Linked DNA regions of Xenopus tropicalis. The protein of the gene in region 1 binds, or shares a complex with, the protein of each later gene. Links are inferred from orthologs where the notes say so. Each region holds a gene or a part of one and is shown on either strand. Other genes may lie near its edges.

Region 1 (7,807 bases):
TTTGTTAATAGGTGTGATATGCATATACATGGTGGGTAACATGCAGTTATGTGGCAGGTAACATGCATATACATGGTGGGTAACATGCAGTTATGTGGCAGGTAACATGCAGATACATGGTGGGTAACATGCAGTTATGTGGCGGGTAACATGCAGTTGTGTGGCAGGTAACATGCAGATACATGGTGGGTAACATGCAGTTGTGTGGCAGGTAACATGCAGATACATGGTGGGTAACATGCAGTTATGTGGCAGGTAACATGCAGATACATGGTGGGTAACATGCAGTTATGTGGCAGGTAACATGCAGATACATGGTGGGTAACATGCAGTTATGTGGCAGGTAACATGCGGATACATGGTGGGTAACATGCGGATACATGGTGGGTATGATGCAGATATTACTTGGCCAGTGGTATGACTTTTTTTTTATGTTACAGCTTGCTGGGACTGCGTGTACACAATGTGTATGATGTGGACAATAAGACATATCTCATCCGGCTTCAGAAGTAAGATTCTGCTCGTTATTATGTGGAAATTAAGTTTGGGAATTTTGTTATATTAAACTGTGCTCATGCAAATGAAACAGCAAATGAAACAGAAGGATGGAGTCCCTTTCTAAGCATCTGTGATATGCTGCATAGTTTTATACTCTTTGCCTTAATAAATTTCAATAGGCTGCCATAGCTTCACTTGCACGTTCCCTATTCTATAACCCAGTAGCTGTTCATAGCTGTTCATTATAGAGAGATGCTGTGCAATGTAGCAGGCAGGCCACATATTGGAGATCCCCATTCCATGTACCTTTCAGTGTGACATCTCCAGTCTTATTTCATGAAAGGAATTCGATGTAATGGATATGCATTGCTTGAGAATAATTATGGATGTAATTGAAGGCAGTAAATTTGCCCAGTCACCCACAGAAAACAAACGTGACCAATAAATGCTACCTGCTGATTGGGTGCCTAGACCTGTAGCAAAGGTTTCAGCTTTTAATACAGTATTCTTTTTATCGCTAAATATTAGAATATTATCAACTCTTCATTAACAGGCCAGACTCAAAAGCCGTACTACTAGTTGAATCAGGGATTAGAATTCACACTACAGAATTTGAGTGGCCCAAGAATATGATGCCGTCCGGATTTGCAATGAAGGTTAGTGAAAGAAAGAACCATTTGAAATGTATAATTGATATTTTTTTCTTGCTGGCAACCCCTCCATGCTTTTTTTCTCCTAGAGCTAGTGGCCTTTTCTGTCTATGGATCTCCAACCTTGCCATTGTTTTTTTTTTATAGCTCTTTGCATGGTCCTGTTTATCAATAATATTTGTATCTGTGCCAGTCTAGGCACATTCATGTGATTAGTGGAAAACTCAAAACTGAAAAGGTGTATTAAAGGACAAAGAAAGGCTAAGTCACTTGGGGGTGCCAAAATGTTAGGCTCCCCCAAGTGACTTTAATCGCTTACCTTGTACCCCGGGCTGGTGCCCCTGTTAGGAGAAAACAGCACCAGCCCGGGGTACCTGTAGCGATGCGCTTCCTCCTTCCGGCTTCGTTTTGCAAGGACTACACGACAGGCGCATGCACAGTAGAGTGAAAAGCCGACTTCTCTGTTAAAGTTCAGCTTTTCACTCTTTTGCGCATGCGCGCACGAGCGAACAGGAAGGAGGAAGCGCTGCAGCTACCCCGAACAGGGGCACCAGCCCGGGGTACAAGGTAGGCGATTTAAGTGACTTGGGGGTGCCTAACATTTTGGCACCCCCAAGTGACTTTGCCTTTCCTTCTCCTTTAAAGACCCACTAACTCTCTAGTTTAACCTATACAGCTGCTTTTAAAAGCAGCATTAAACTAATAAAAATTTACGTAAGTGGAATATACATTCATTAAACATTTGCCATTGCCTTTCAGTGTATAAAGCTGCTGTGACAGCCTTCCATCCCTACACCTTCTAAAAACTTTTCTCAGTTCAGATGTTTTCAGACATTACACCAAAAATAAAGCCTTTTTTCGGTTACTTTTGGTTACTGTTTTTTAAATTTAAAGTTTAAAATTCCTCTTTCTTGTGCTTCAGTCTGGCAGCTCAGTTATCCAGGTGCTGCCTCTGAACTGTTACAATTTGCTACATTAGGGCCATGGCAGAGGGGAGATTAATTTGCCTTGACAGGAATGCCATCCTACTGGCGATTTACATTTCTTAGCTGCAGCTGTTCAATGTTATCAACCATTGTATCCAATATGCCTTTAATGAAACTCAGGGATTATACTCAGCAGGGCCATAAGAAATGATAAGAAATGTATCAACGCATGTACAGTTTAGAGAATCAGTGCAGCGACCCCCCTCATAGAGCTGGTCCCGGGAGACATGAGAAGGTGAAAAAATAAACACATGAAAGCAATTTAAAAAAGCTCACGTTTTAGGGCTCTGGCACACGGGGAGATTAGTCGCCTGTGACAAATCTCCCTGTTCGCGGGCAACTAATCGCCCGAGTTGCCATCCCACCGGCAAAAATGTAAGTCGCCGGTGGGATGGCACACACTGCGCAGATGATTTCGGCAAATCGCCGAAGTTGCCTCGCGAGGCATTTTCGGCGATTTGCCGAAATCGTGCTGCCGCGTCTGCCATCCCACCAGCTACTTACATTTTCGCCGGTGGGATGGCAACTGATGGCAATTCGGGGAGATTAGTCGCCCGCGAACAGGGAGCCTTAGGGCTCTGGCACATGGGGAGATTAGTCGCCCGTGACAAATCTCCCTGTTCACGGGCGACTAATCTCCCTGAAATGCCATCCCACCGGCGAAAATGTAAATTGCCGGTGGGATGGCATTTTGGGGAGATTAGCCGCCCGCGAACAGGGAGATTTGTCGCGGGCGACTAATCACCCCGTGTGCCAGAGCCCTTAAATGTACCAGGAAAGCACCAGACTTCTAGGCAGTAGGGGGTAAGTTGGTCTGTGTTTTCATTCAGAATTGTGCAGAAAATAAATACTTATTACTACATTCTGTTTTTGAAAACCATAGCATCAGATCTTTGCTTCTTATTGTCCACAGTGCCGTAAGCATTTAAAGTCTAGGAGGCTGGTAAGCATTAAACAGCTAGGTGTGGACAGGATTGTGGATTTCCAGTTTGGTTCAGATGAAGCTGCCTATCATCTCATTGTGGAGCTGTATGATCGGGTAAGCAAGTGTACATTTGGGCTTTGTCAGTAACCGTCAAATGTGCATAGCTGTGTGCATTGCTGTGTGGTCTCTGGCTGTATTATTGTGCTCAAAGTAAAAATGCCAAGAGACAGTGAAACCAATCTCTTGTATCAATGAAGCATTGGGTATAAGCCACACAGGTAGCTTTCTGTAAAAAAATAAATAAATCTGTGCATGGGGTTACTATGTGCTACTGTGTTTAATGATTTAGCATCACTATTTTTACTTTAAAGTATAGATTCACTAATGTTCTTTTCTATTTGGTTCTGTGTCATGGTGCTAAGTTCCCCTTAAAAAAGGTTTAAACTAAAACATCAGCATTATGCCCAATACCTTAAGATCCAAAACTATCTGCACCCAATTTCTTATCCTTTGCTTAATTTATTTAAGGGATCATTTTATATGTACACCTATGCAGACTTTTCCTTAATGTTTCCTTAATGTCTTTCCAGGGCAACATTGTCCTTACAGACCATGAATATCTAATTTTAAACATCCTAAGGTTTCGAACAGATGAGGCAGATGATGTAAAATTTGCAGTTCGAGAACATTATCCTATAGATCATGCCAAAGCTCCTGAACCGCTACTCAGTGTGGAAAAGTAAATTCTTTTGCTTAATTTTCTTGTTGTGTGGGTAACCATTTTTAGTGTGGTATGCATAAATATTCCTTTTTTAGTTTGTCAGAGTTAGCCTATTAAAGACTAATGTGGCTGAATTCGAATCCAGTACCTTACAGTATAATTTTTTTGTATAAAAATCTCTCACAAATACATTAATGGTTTTATTTGCAATAGAGGAGCCATTGATCAAGCTCAGCTGGTGGGAATACAAGAGGTGCTCAGAGTGTGCCCATATTGAGGGTTTTATGGAGTCTGGTCCTTACCAGTGACAATAGAGTCTCTTCTTCATGCATGACAAGAGGCAGTTAAGATGGGTAAATTCGTCAAATTGCATATATCTGGCAATACACCTCTGTGGAAAAACATTTGTTTAGTTTAGATTCTAAATTGGTCAACAAGGGGAATCCTGACTCTGCAGGACTTAATGCAATGGTGCCTGGAGAGTTTCTCTATACATCAGTATTCCTATTCACCATATTTTCTGTACAATTACGGGCACACTTGTTTTGTTTCTAGACTAAAGGAAATCCTAGAGAAAGCACAGAAGGGTGATCAGTTGAAAAGAGTTCTTAATCCACATCTCCGTAAGTTTTTTTTTTTTTTTGTTTTTTGTAACATAATTATTATTGACGATATGCAGTGTATGGAAAGTAACGTGTGTTCTTATCTCTGTGTAGCTTATGGTGCTACTCTGATTGAGCATTGCCTGTTAGATACAGGACTTTCCAGCAATGTCAAGGTTGACCAGATTTCTGGACCTGAAGGTCAGTGCAGCGGCTATTAACAATTTTACTTTTAAGTTTTAAATCTATAGTAGTAAAACTGAACTGCCTTTTCTCTAATTTTAAGATTTGGAGAAGGTGCATACTGCACTAAGAAAGGCAGAGGAATACATGGATGTAACACAGCACTTTAAAGGGAAGGTAGGATGTTGTTTAATTAGCCCTTTGTAGTGAATATCAGAGCCAGCACAAGATTTAAGGAAAGCTATACCCCCAGAATGAATACTTAACCAATGTATAGTTTATATCATATTAAGTGACCTATTAAAGAATCTTACCAAACTGGAATATATATATATAAAAGTAAATATTGCCCTTTTACATCTTTTCCCTTGAGCCACCATTTAGTGATGGGCTGTGTGCTCCCTCAGAGATAACATGACCAAAGATAATGTATCTCTTATTATAGAAGACGTGTGGGAGTAAAAGACTTTGTCCGTTAATTGGCCTAACATGTATGTGTGCTCTTAGTACTCAGGGTCGCTGCTGCTATGAGGCGAGTCATGAAAATCGCCTCAGATGACAGCATCTCATAAGTTACCAGGGGCGGCAAAAAGCCACTCCTGGTAACTTTAAGGGCCGTGGCAGATGGGGAGATTAGTCACCCGCAACAAATCTCCCTTGTCGTGGGCGACTAATCTCCCCGATATGCCATCCCACCGGCTTGAATGTAAATCGTCGGTGGGATGGCATACATCGAAATCGCGGAAGTTTCCTCTGAAGGCAACACATTAGACTGACACATCTGTCAGTGCAGCTGCATGGAGCTGTGGATGAACGTGGATCCTCTTCTCTCCTCCTGCCTACAAAATGCAGGGGCATATAAACAGTCCCTATGCACTGTGTTGCCCTTTATCTTGCATTCAGTATAACATGTTATTCCCTCGAAATCCACAGGGTTTTATAATTCAGAAAAGAGAGAAAAAGCCAAGCTTGGAGCCTGACAAACCCTCTGAAGATATATTCACGTGAGTAGCCTTTAAATATATCATAAAGAATTTGAGGATGTAAGACAGCCATTAGCAGGGACTTCCCAAGCCCTCACTTGAGTGGTTCATGCATACATTTTTAGCACATATTTTCACATCTTCTCTGTGTATAATTTGTTCCTTCATAGGGTTATGGGATGCAGCTGTATTGTCTTTTCTCTGTTTATTTAAAAATAATTTCTCATTTCATATTGGAGTTATATAATAGTTAAACAAAATTGTCCTAAACCACTGAAACAGTTTGGGTTAAAATGTCATCTTTTCTGAACATAAAGTTATTGAAGTTGTTTACAATGTGTAAAGTGCCCTTTTTTCAGCATGCTGTCTTGCTTGGGTTTAGTTAGGTGAGAAGTTCCTGGAACCAGTTGAGCACAGGTAGTGAATTACTACTAGGGTGTAATGTCCAGGATTATTTGGCAGAACACCTTGAGTGTATTACCCGCACCCTATTTTTTTTCTTTTTTACAGAACAAGGCCAGGTAAGTCAGGCATAGCTATGTGGCAAATCTATGATGTCTGCCATTACTGGGTGAGCATCAAGATGCACAGAATTGGATTGGGAGTCAGTTTTGAAAAGACATACTCTTACCTGCTAGTGCACTGCATGGGTCCAGACTTTCAAAGCATAAATATATGAGAGGCAGTGTTAAGTGTTTTGTCATGTAACTGCAGAGCTTGAAATCACTATTGCAACAAAACTATGATTTACTTTTTTTTATAATTATTTGCATTTTTTACTACAGTTTTTAACCTGGAACTTTTTGTCTGTGTTTAAGGAATGAAGAATTCCATCCTTTTCTATTTGCACAGCATTGCAACAACACTTATATTGAATTAGATTCCTTCAATAAGGTGGGTTCCGTGATCATGGATTATTATAGTTACACCCCATTTATATAAAACAAAAGCTATTTGGGGGTTTTATATGAATCTGTAGATTTTACAGCTTGATGGGGCAGATTCACATCCAAATAACTAGAGATGATTCTGTCTTTCATTTTTTTTTTTTTAAATAGATGGCATTAAATTATAAAATACATTACTTTCCCCCCTAAGGTACTTCGTGCTAGTTATGCTGTGCCCCCCAACTATGTAATCTTATTGTGTTTTTCCAATGTTTTAGGCTGTTGATGAGTTTTTTTCAAAGATGGAAGGCCAGAGGATTGATCTAAAGGCTCTGCAACAGGTGCTTCACAATATTTAGTAGCAAGTAGATGCTATTTTTGCTTAGTCATTTTTATCTTAAAGGGAAAATATACCCACATTTTTTGACATAAAGCTTTTTGAACTCAAGTGTTTTTTGTTTTTTACACAGTCATGCCTAATTCCAGAGTTTGAAAGGACAGTCTGTGCTGCCATAACCAGCTTCCTCCCCACACCTAGGCTAGCAGACTGATCCCAACCCTCCCTCACCCTATTCCAATGTAAAGTCATGTATTCTCTGTACATGACACATGTGTGCACCCCTCACTATGGGAACTAGAGAGATTAGTGCCAGAATCTATTACTTCACAATGATCCCAGTAAACACAGACTATCATGTTTTTTCAAAACAAAAAAGTTATCTTTATTTCTGGAAGCTCCGATAGTGTTTAAACACCTTTTCTACATAAGGCCAACTGAATGGATTCATATCAGAAAGTGGAGGTAGGGAGGTATATTTTCCCTTTAATTTACATTTATTTTATCAGAGATTCTTAATACTGAACTTTTCATTTAGGAAAAGCAAGCCTTAAAGAAATTAGAAAATGTCCGGAAAGATCATGAGGAACGCTTGGAATCACTCCAGCATGCACAGGTATTCTAACCTCTCACATACCCTGAATTATGGCTTGCAGTATATGTATGTTATTTTGCTTACGTAGCACTACAATCTTAAATTCTTCTGCTCGGATCCTCCTGCTCTCTCCTAAAAGGGAACCAGTTCAGCCCCAAGTAAAATCCTAATATCATGGCTGCCTGTTAAGCAAAGGATAGCATACAAAATACTTTTGCTAACTTTCAAAGCCTTCACTTCTCTGCTCCTCAGTACATTTCTTCAGATATTGGATATTTTCTTAAACGACGCTGGTGTGGCTGTGACTTACAGAAGCTATAGAGTGTCTACACTGCATGTATGACTTTCTCAAATGTGTTACACACTTTACATGTTTGGCCACCTTGCTGCTTGTTTTAAGAGGTCATCTATATGCCCACCTTGAGGTGGGCAATATCAGG
Region 2 (8,398 bases), on another chromosome or scaffold:
CAGCATCGCGTCTAAATTAACACAAGTATCCTTTTAGTGAATCGCCTGTTAAGTAGCGAAAAATAAGACGCGCCAAAAATTTTAACTCATGATATAAATAGCGCTCGTTTTAAGGCACCTTAGTGAATCAACCCTATAGTATTGTGATTTGCAGTGTATTTAAGTACCCTATCCCTTATTAACCCATCCAAAAGCTTTCCTACCACTGATGTCCGACTAACAGGCCTATAGTCAGATGGTTTGTGCATAATAAGCCATACATTTTAAACATTAAAATATAACATTTCTTCTAGCACTGAGATGTCTATTATCAGAACATTGACTGCATTTTTATACTCTTGGGGTGTACATTTTCAAGCACATGTATGGCCATGAAGGTTTGGAGCAGTGTATTGTGTTTTTTCACTGCCATCTTCTGGGCAATTTTTATATTCAAGCAATTTAAGCAATCACTTGTTTTTGCAAAACTTCAGCCAATACCAGTGGAGATGCCAATGTGTCCTTTAAGCCCAGTTTGATGGCAAACTATTATGTGACTTTGCAGGGGTTCTATAGAATTTGCACTGCTTTTCTGCACTATGATATAGCAGATTATTAACCCGGACATTGTTTTTCATGAATAACCTTTTAATTAGCTAATAACTTCTGCCTTTTTTTCTTTAACTGCTTCTAACTTTTTTCTTTTTCCAATTTCAGTTGATAGCAGTATTCACAGTTAATGATGTTTTTATCCTTAACTGTTTCGCAAACTTAGGAAAACAGTCTCACACCCAACAGGCATTGCTCTTGCATACAATTCCATGTACACTGTCTACATATACCATATGGAATAATAGGCTGGGGCTATTTCCATGGTTTGGGTCACTGGTTCCAGTGAAGGCTAAATGGTAAAATGACATTCCTGACAATTCCATGCCTTCTTCTTTGTGGAGCAGTTTGAGCAGAATAATTCCCCCATGCACAAAACCACGTCCATACACAATAGGGATGCTGGCAACCTGGGCAGCTAAGTGGTAGATGCAGATTTAATGTAGATAAATGTAAGGTCATGCACCTGGGATGCCACTTAAACCCTTAATGGGACTGCACTTGGCAAAACCATAATGAAAAAGGACCTTGGAGTGGAGTAGCAGAAATCCATCCATAAATGAAATATGTGCCTCCTCTGTTGCCGGTTGATTCTCTTTTTGGTTGGGTAAGAGAGCCCACTGGTGTTGGTTGACTACTTGTATGTATAAAAGAAGGAACATTCACTATCTCTACCTTTGATTGTGGCAGATTTTTTGGGTAATCCCTCACCCTCCCACTCAACAACGTGTCACTCCCCACACTGAATCCCCCTGCAGTGAGAAAGGAAATTTAGTGGCACAAGAGTTACTGAAACACCAGAGCTATGGAAATGTAGGCAGAAGTACTAGCCCAGCATCCCCTCACCATTGCACCCTAGGCATATACCTCTCCTGCCTGCCCCTACTTCTGGCCCTGTTGCCCCACACCAGAGTTTGGAAAATTCTGTTAGGTTATGTGTGTCCTACCTATACAGCTGATGGATATATGTGTGTGTAAGTGGGTTACACCTGCCCCAGATTGCATGGGAAATTCAGAGATTTCACCAAGGATTGGGATAATAATGTTACAGTGATTTTCTGATCTATCAGGGAACACTGCAGAACAAGGTACTTCTTGATCAGCAAAGGAAAGAAAAATCTATTCTGTTTATTAACAGTCAGTTTTTAATGTCATGAGTAGGTTATTATAACCAACAGTTTTGGTCATGCACTTTTTGTGTGCTACACAAATGACCAGCTAGTAGGTGGATAGGTTTTGTTAGGTCATAAGGTTGAACTTGACTTATTTAATTTTTTAGCCACAGCTACTATAATACAATCATTTTGCAGGAAAACAGGTGTGTAACAATAGACAAAACATATTTTGCAACTGCTGGGGGACCCAGGAACTCTAGGGGGCTTCATGGGACTGATAAGCAGCTGGAATATTTGTTCATGGAAAATGTTCTCTCTCCAGAGTTTAGGGACCCAGAGATGTTGCTGTGTGGCCCAATAACCAGTCATTCCCTTACCTAAAAGTCCTAAAAGAATGCAAATTGCAAAAGTTTTTAGGATAGCATTCTTGTCAATTTACATTTACTTATTTTAAAAGTTTGCATATTCCTTAAATAAACCCATTAGGTTTGTTTTGCCAATATGGATTCATACAGCTTAGTTTGGATCAAGTACAAGATGCTATTTTACTATTACAGGGAAAAAAGAAATCATTTTTAAATGAGCATCCCACAATTCAGAGCTTTCTAGATAACAGTTTGAGCTCCTGCTGTGTACCAATCTGCAGTCTATATGGAGAATCTGAGCACCACCCAATATGAAAAACAGAGGGACTTCCATTTTTTTTTCTATGAATTGTCTTTATTTAAGTTTTAAAATAAACAAAGCTCTTGAGATAAAGTAACATTGGTTGTTCAATAGATAGAAGAAGAAGAGAGTGGAAATAATGAAACAAATAATCTTGTAAAATGTATCCAAAACAATCCTAAATTAACTTCTCACAGTGGTGGGGAGGTGATTATAGAATTTTGGTTTTAATGATGTAGCTATAGGATTTTAGTACATGCCAATCATTCCAAATAGTTTGTTAATAATCTGTCAGGTGACTCCTGGCAGTTGCATATGTTTAAGGTTGCCTTGGGAGGTTTGAACACGAAAATGCCTGTTCCGCTTCGTGGTTTGCCTTGGAGTATTTCAGCACTGTACCAAGTGGTGTATTGAAAACCAAGTATTGTTAAGTATTTGATTGGTTGAGGGGAGGTAATGTTAGTGAGCCATGTGTCAAAGATTTTTGGGGTATGTTTTTATTTACTGTACAAGGTTTCTATCCAGTCTAGATGGAAAATGTAGTTTTTGTCATACTAAAGTGCCAGTATCCATCATTTAACAATAAAATTAGGTTTGGGAGGGATTGAATTATTCTAAAGAGCATATAGAAATGGTCCATATGAAAGTTATGATAATATGCACTGTAAGAATAATAATAATAATGCACCTGATGCAATTGAATGAGCTCCTGCTCCTGTTAATTTCAGATGACATTTTGAACATACTTGTCCCCATATTATCAATTGAACATGTTTCTTAAATTTCATGTAAGACTACATACCTCTATGTATCTGAATGAGTGCACACATTTAGAATTAGTACTGGCTGAAACCATTACAAAAACACTTGCATATTTTGGGGCCGATTCATAAAAACACGAGTTCGAATGGGAAAAATTTGGATTGGACACGATAATTTCTGATAGATTGCAAATATTACAAAAATTTTTACGAAAAAATCGTATTAGTCACGATAATATCGTATTGACGATCCGAAAGTCACTAAATTTTCATACCGAACGATTGTAAACAGCGACAGAACCTTTCCAAATTCACGCAAGCATATGAAAAAAGTCGTGCAAGCGTGAAAAAATCGTCAAAAATACGCTCGAACGCTCCGAGCATTTATGTCTTAATAAATCTCCCCCCATGTGTCATACATCCCAGGGATACCCCTTGTCTAGCATGTATAATCTTCTGTCAGAACGTTTCATCTCCCCGCAGCCCCTTAATGCAGATAGCCTGAGCCTGGCCTCACAGGGCATGCTGGGAGACAAAGATCAGCAGTTACTAAAGGAGCCAAACAGCATGAGCTAGCTGCTGAATAACGCCGTCTTTTATTTGGATTTACTGAATGAGATGTTACAGTAGCGCCCCCAGGCTGTCATGTATAGGCATTACACGCTACGAGCCGCTAATGACCCTGAGCGCATGCGCCTGGCTGCAAATCCTTCCTGGGCTTCTGCCCTGTGAGTTTGTTTAGGTGCCATGTCCCGTCGGGCCTTGAGGAGGCTGAGAGGAGAGCAGAGAGGACAGGAGGAGCCCGGGGCCCTTGGAGGAGACGAAAATGAAAAAGACGATGAGGAAGAAGAAGCACCAAAGCTCCCGGAACCGCGAAGCCGTAAAGCACGTGGAAACCGGAAACTCTTGGAGGAGCGGGGCCTAAATAACCCCTTCCAGCTGGTGAGTGGGGGAAGGCAAATCCAGGGACACCGGGACCTATATGTGAGATTAGTACAGAGCCAGAACCGGCCATAAGGGAACATGAATTAGACCAAGCAGTGATAGGTGCAGTACTGTTGGTTAGGAACAACTAGTAATCAGCTGGCTACATCCTCTCAGTAGTGAGAACCACCAGTGACACCTACCCTACAGGTGCAGTAACTGCAGCCCTCTGGTGTATTGCTTGTCAACCGCAGCTCTGACTTATAGCTTCTGGCTCGGTTTCCCTGGCCTGTTTGGGCCAAGTGAGTTTTATATAAGCCCAGCTGGGGGGGGGGGAGTTCTGCATACACTCTCTGGTACAATTACATTATAATTCAGTGGAGAGATAGGCTAATGTTCTCCCTACAGTAAAGTGCTCTATGAACCATAGATCTTAGATAAGTGTTTATTATCTTGGCATAACATTAGGAAACAAAGGGAAAGTTTACCTGCAAATGAAATTTATGTATGGTATAGAGTGGTATATAGCATTTCAGCCCAGTATTTCTGTCCTTATTAGCATTAATGTTCAGATGGTTCGGTTTTAGTTTTTAGGCCATCTCTTATTTGTCTACCATTCTGACTTCCAAACTGTTGTCTGGTTACTAGTGTAAATAAGTCCTAGAAACTAGATAACAGCTGAAATGCCAAGGCTCAGAGCTGCTGAACAGAAATAAATATTTTAAAAGCCATACCAACTGAAGACTAATTGCAAATTGCCCTAGAATAATACTATATAATACTTATATTTAATATGAAGTGAAGAATGCATCCTGCACCTGCTCAGTCCTGTGTATAATGGCCTGTTTGCAAACACTAGCTGATGGCTGCTTAGCCTGAGCTGGGATATTCATGAAAATTGTCAACATTCAAGAGCAGCACTGAGGAAGAATCTAGGGACCATTCAACAGAGGAATATCCAACCTATGTACATTTAGGCAAGAAATACCCTGCCTCTGATTCAAAGGGACCATATCCCCACCCCACAGAGGCTGTTAGGACCCCCCCTTACCATGTTTTAAGTGAAAGTGATGCTTTCTGCGAATCTAAATTCCTTTATCTTTTCTCAAGAGGACTTCACACCACCCACTCTGCGTACTAAAAGTTACCATCCTGCCTTTTCCTTTCCGTGCAATCAGCTGTGTTTGGATAAAAATACTTCTGAAAGTAAGGCTAATGTCCCATGGGGAGATTAGTAGCCCACGGTAGCAGAGATTTATAAAGGGCGATAAAATCTTTACACTGGCAACAAAGAAAATCGCTGGTGGAAAGACCTACACATTGCTTAGTTCTTCAGAAGTTACCTGCAGCTGGAAACTTCGCGCCACGATGTGTAGGCCTTTCCACTGGAGATTCTCTTGGTTGCCAGTGGAAAGGCATTTTGGGAAGATTAGTCACCCATGGTAGCAGAGATTTATCACTCTGTGTGGCATTAGCCTAAGGGACAGTTGGGTCTGATAAGAATGAGGACCTTCAGGGTCTGTTGGAGACTCAGGCCATTGGTACCAACTGATCTGTCAGCTTGTGTTATTTGGAGCATTATAAAGTTTAGCAATCTAGTCCTTGAACCACTTGTCATATCTGCTTTTTGGTTTATGTCTGTAGATAATTGACCATGATTGTGATGCTCGGAGTGATTCAAACATCAAGCATGTCACAAATCCTAGGCTTAATGAGGAGAAAGAGACAAATACTTGTAAGACGGACCAAGATGCCACTGAAGATCCTGCTTTGAACCAGGTGAGGAAATAATAGTAGAGGAGTTACTTAGAATATGGGAGTATTTATCAGCCAACCGGCTGCTTTTATTAGGAATTTGTTTTTTTTTTCTGTAGCATATTTACCTGCCATTTCTGTACCTGAATAGGCTGCTCCAAGCAACAAACCAAAGAAGAAGAAAAAAAAGAAGAAATCAAAGAAATGCACTATTTCAGAGAACCAGGTAACATATCATCAGCTCATGCCCATGATGTTATGTTTTCCATAACAGAAGAGCACATTTGGCAAAGCAGTGATAAGAGGGATAGCATACTTGCTTTTAATTAGAGACCATCCACTTTGTTGTTTGTGTCCTAATGGAAGAGCAAACAAAAAAGGGAAATGTAAATGAGGCGGAATTTGACTAGTAAAGCTGGCCATACACGCGTGTATGGCAAGTCGGCGAGGCAACCGATATCGCAGGAGGCTGCTGATATCGGTCGACTCGCCAATCGGGTGGTTTAAAAGATTTTGATCGGGCGCCATAGAAGACGTCTGAGCAAAATCTGCCTTCTGCTGAATCGGCAGAAGGAGGTAGAAATCCTATTGTTTCTGCCTCCATATCTGCCGTTTCAGCCCTGAACGTCAGTGGCCGATTGGAACGATGTCGCACGAAAGATCGAAAATTGCCACGTGTGTGGCCACCTAAAGTTCTTAGACTACCCAACTTTCTGCGCTGTATAGTAAATGTACAGACAGATACTGACAAATGCAGGAGAAAAAGAGGGCTCTGCCAGTTAGAGCAATGCAGATAATTAAAAAAGCATAATGGTTTGGTGAATACTTGGAGATACATTAGGGTGGGGACATTTCAAGCATAGTAGATTAAGTTTTAGTAGCATTTAGTAGCAGAGATTTAGTAGCAGAGACTGGTGTTAGGACCTGCAAGGGGCAGAAATGGTTGGTGAGATCAATGAGTTTGGTAGCCATATTCATGGTCATTTTTAGAAATATTCCTTAAATAAATGTGACAATTTAGTTATCCTTGGATACGAGGAGTGATGGAGGCAACTTTGGGCCTGGGCAGACAGGGTAAGAGTGGAGCTGGTTTTTGTTTCAACTTATAATGTTTACATTGCACTTTATTATCTGTCATATATATATATATATATATATAAATAGGATCTTTTCCTGAATCGCTGTCAGTTATGTAATATACTTGCGGCAATTCAAATGTTGCCAAAGGTAATTGCACTTTTCGGGAGATTTGTCACCAATGGTAGCAAATTTTAATTGTTGGAGACAAAACTTCCCATGAGCCATTGCCTTTACAGACCAATTTTATGTGTGAGCCAAGCTTACTAGAAAATTACTGTGGGCTGAGACAGGTATTTTGATCTCTGTGTCTCACCCAGGGAGCATCTTGTAGGTCAAAGTACTTGGTGTGCCATAAGCTATAGCTAGCTTCACAAATAGGGAACATAGTAAGAAAATGATAAAAAAATACAGTCTTGCTTGCTTTGCATTTGTGTACCTTTAAAGAGAGAGAGTGTTTTTATTTGTTTAAAAACAATGCGTAATATGGTGCATATTAAATCAGTTTGGTTTAAAAAGTAAAGATCTCATTAGTGTGATCACTCTCACAAGAAATTTGTACCCTCAAGCAGGTGAAATTCAATATAATAAGGCATGCAGTGAAGAAGTAGCCCATGCTTAGTTAAATTAACAAGTAGCTATGACATAAGTGACTTAAGAAAAAATGCAAATAAGTCAAAATGACCACTCTGTAGAGTTTCACTTGATTACAGTCTGCCATCTCTAGAGAATGCTTCTGTTGAAGGTTGTACCAGATGAAAAGTCTGATATTAGCCCATCTGTCATGGGCAAATGTCTCTTTAGCCCATTTATTAAAATGCCTCCAATCTGGAGATAGTGTCCCACAGGATGCCCAGCATTTTTGTAAGCCATATGCCTTTGCTTCCACCACATTGCTTTGTTACTCACACAGCTAAGTGGCTGCAGGGGTTCCTAACTTCCCCTCAATATTTTATTTGCTTCTTCCCACAAAAGGCCATGTTGCTGTAAGCTTTCAGAAAGTGTTGCTTTCCTGTTTTCATAAACCCCTCATCTGAGGTGAGACACTGAAATAGAATTAAAACACCCTCTGTCAGAATAGCTCATTTACTACACTGCACCTTCCAGTGCTGATGGCTGCTTTAACAATGAGAGTAAAAGACATAAGGGGACTTCATTGAGGGGGTTAAACAGATGCATTTAATTTACCAACTATGAATATATATTTGTAATGAAAAACCTAACTAGTCCTGCCAATCTGTTCCACTTCCTGCTGACTGAACTCTGGATGTGCAGGGGAGCTGGCAGCACTCCGCACACTGCACTGTAGGATAGGAACCAATCAGCACCTAGGCTGACCTGATAGGAAACTGAAACCTGTCTTTGCTTGTGTGACTGCAGGGCTGTGATTGGCTAGTCCTCTCCTGTTGTGCTTCTGGCAGGGACCCTTAGGACACACCTGTCCTCTTTTAAAACACTGACACGGACCAGAGAGGATCTATAGGAAACTCCAATAAAGGGGCCATTTTTAAA

What was found.
Region 2: nemf (region 1) and tcf25 share a complex: the UniProt entries of both Homo sapiens proteins name them as parts of the ribosome quality control complex. The link is inferred for Xenopus tropicalis from reciprocal best matches to the Homo sapiens genes NEMF and TCF25.

The regions. Positions count from the first base shown.
Region 1 is NC_030684.2:93,088,979-93,096,785, forward strand, and holds part of nemf (nuclear export mediator factor NEMF), read left to right. Parts: intron 1-440; coding exon 441-509; intron 510-1,051; coding exon 1,052-1,154; intron 1,155-3,047; coding exon 3,048-3,173; intron 3,174-3,649; coding exon 3,650-3,798; intron 3,799-4,335; coding exon 4,336-4,403; intron 4,404-4,496; coding exon 4,497-4,583; intron 4,584-4,668; coding exon 4,669-4,742; intron 4,743-5,498; coding exon 5,499-5,569; intron 5,570-6,366; coding exon 6,367-6,442; intron 6,443-6,713; coding exon 6,714-6,776; intron 6,777-7,310; coding exon 7,311-7,388; intron 7,389-7,807. UniProt on the Homo sapiens protein: Key component of the ribosome quality control complex (RQC), a ribosome-associated complex that mediates the extraction of incompletely synthesized nascent chains from stalled ribosomes as well as their ubiquitin-mediated proteasomal degradation.
Region 2 is NC_030680.2:59,796,467-59,804,864, reverse strand, and holds the start of tcf25 (transcription factor 25), read left to right. Parts: upstream 1-3,817; 5' UTR 3,818-3,877; coding exon 3,878-4,072; intron 4,073-5,698; coding exon 5,699-5,833; intron 5,834-5,960; coding exon 5,961-6,035; intron 6,036-8,398. UniProt on the Homo sapiens protein: Component of the ribosome quality control complex (RQC), a ribosome-associated complex that mediates ubiquitination and extraction of incompletely synthesized nascent chains for proteasomal degradation.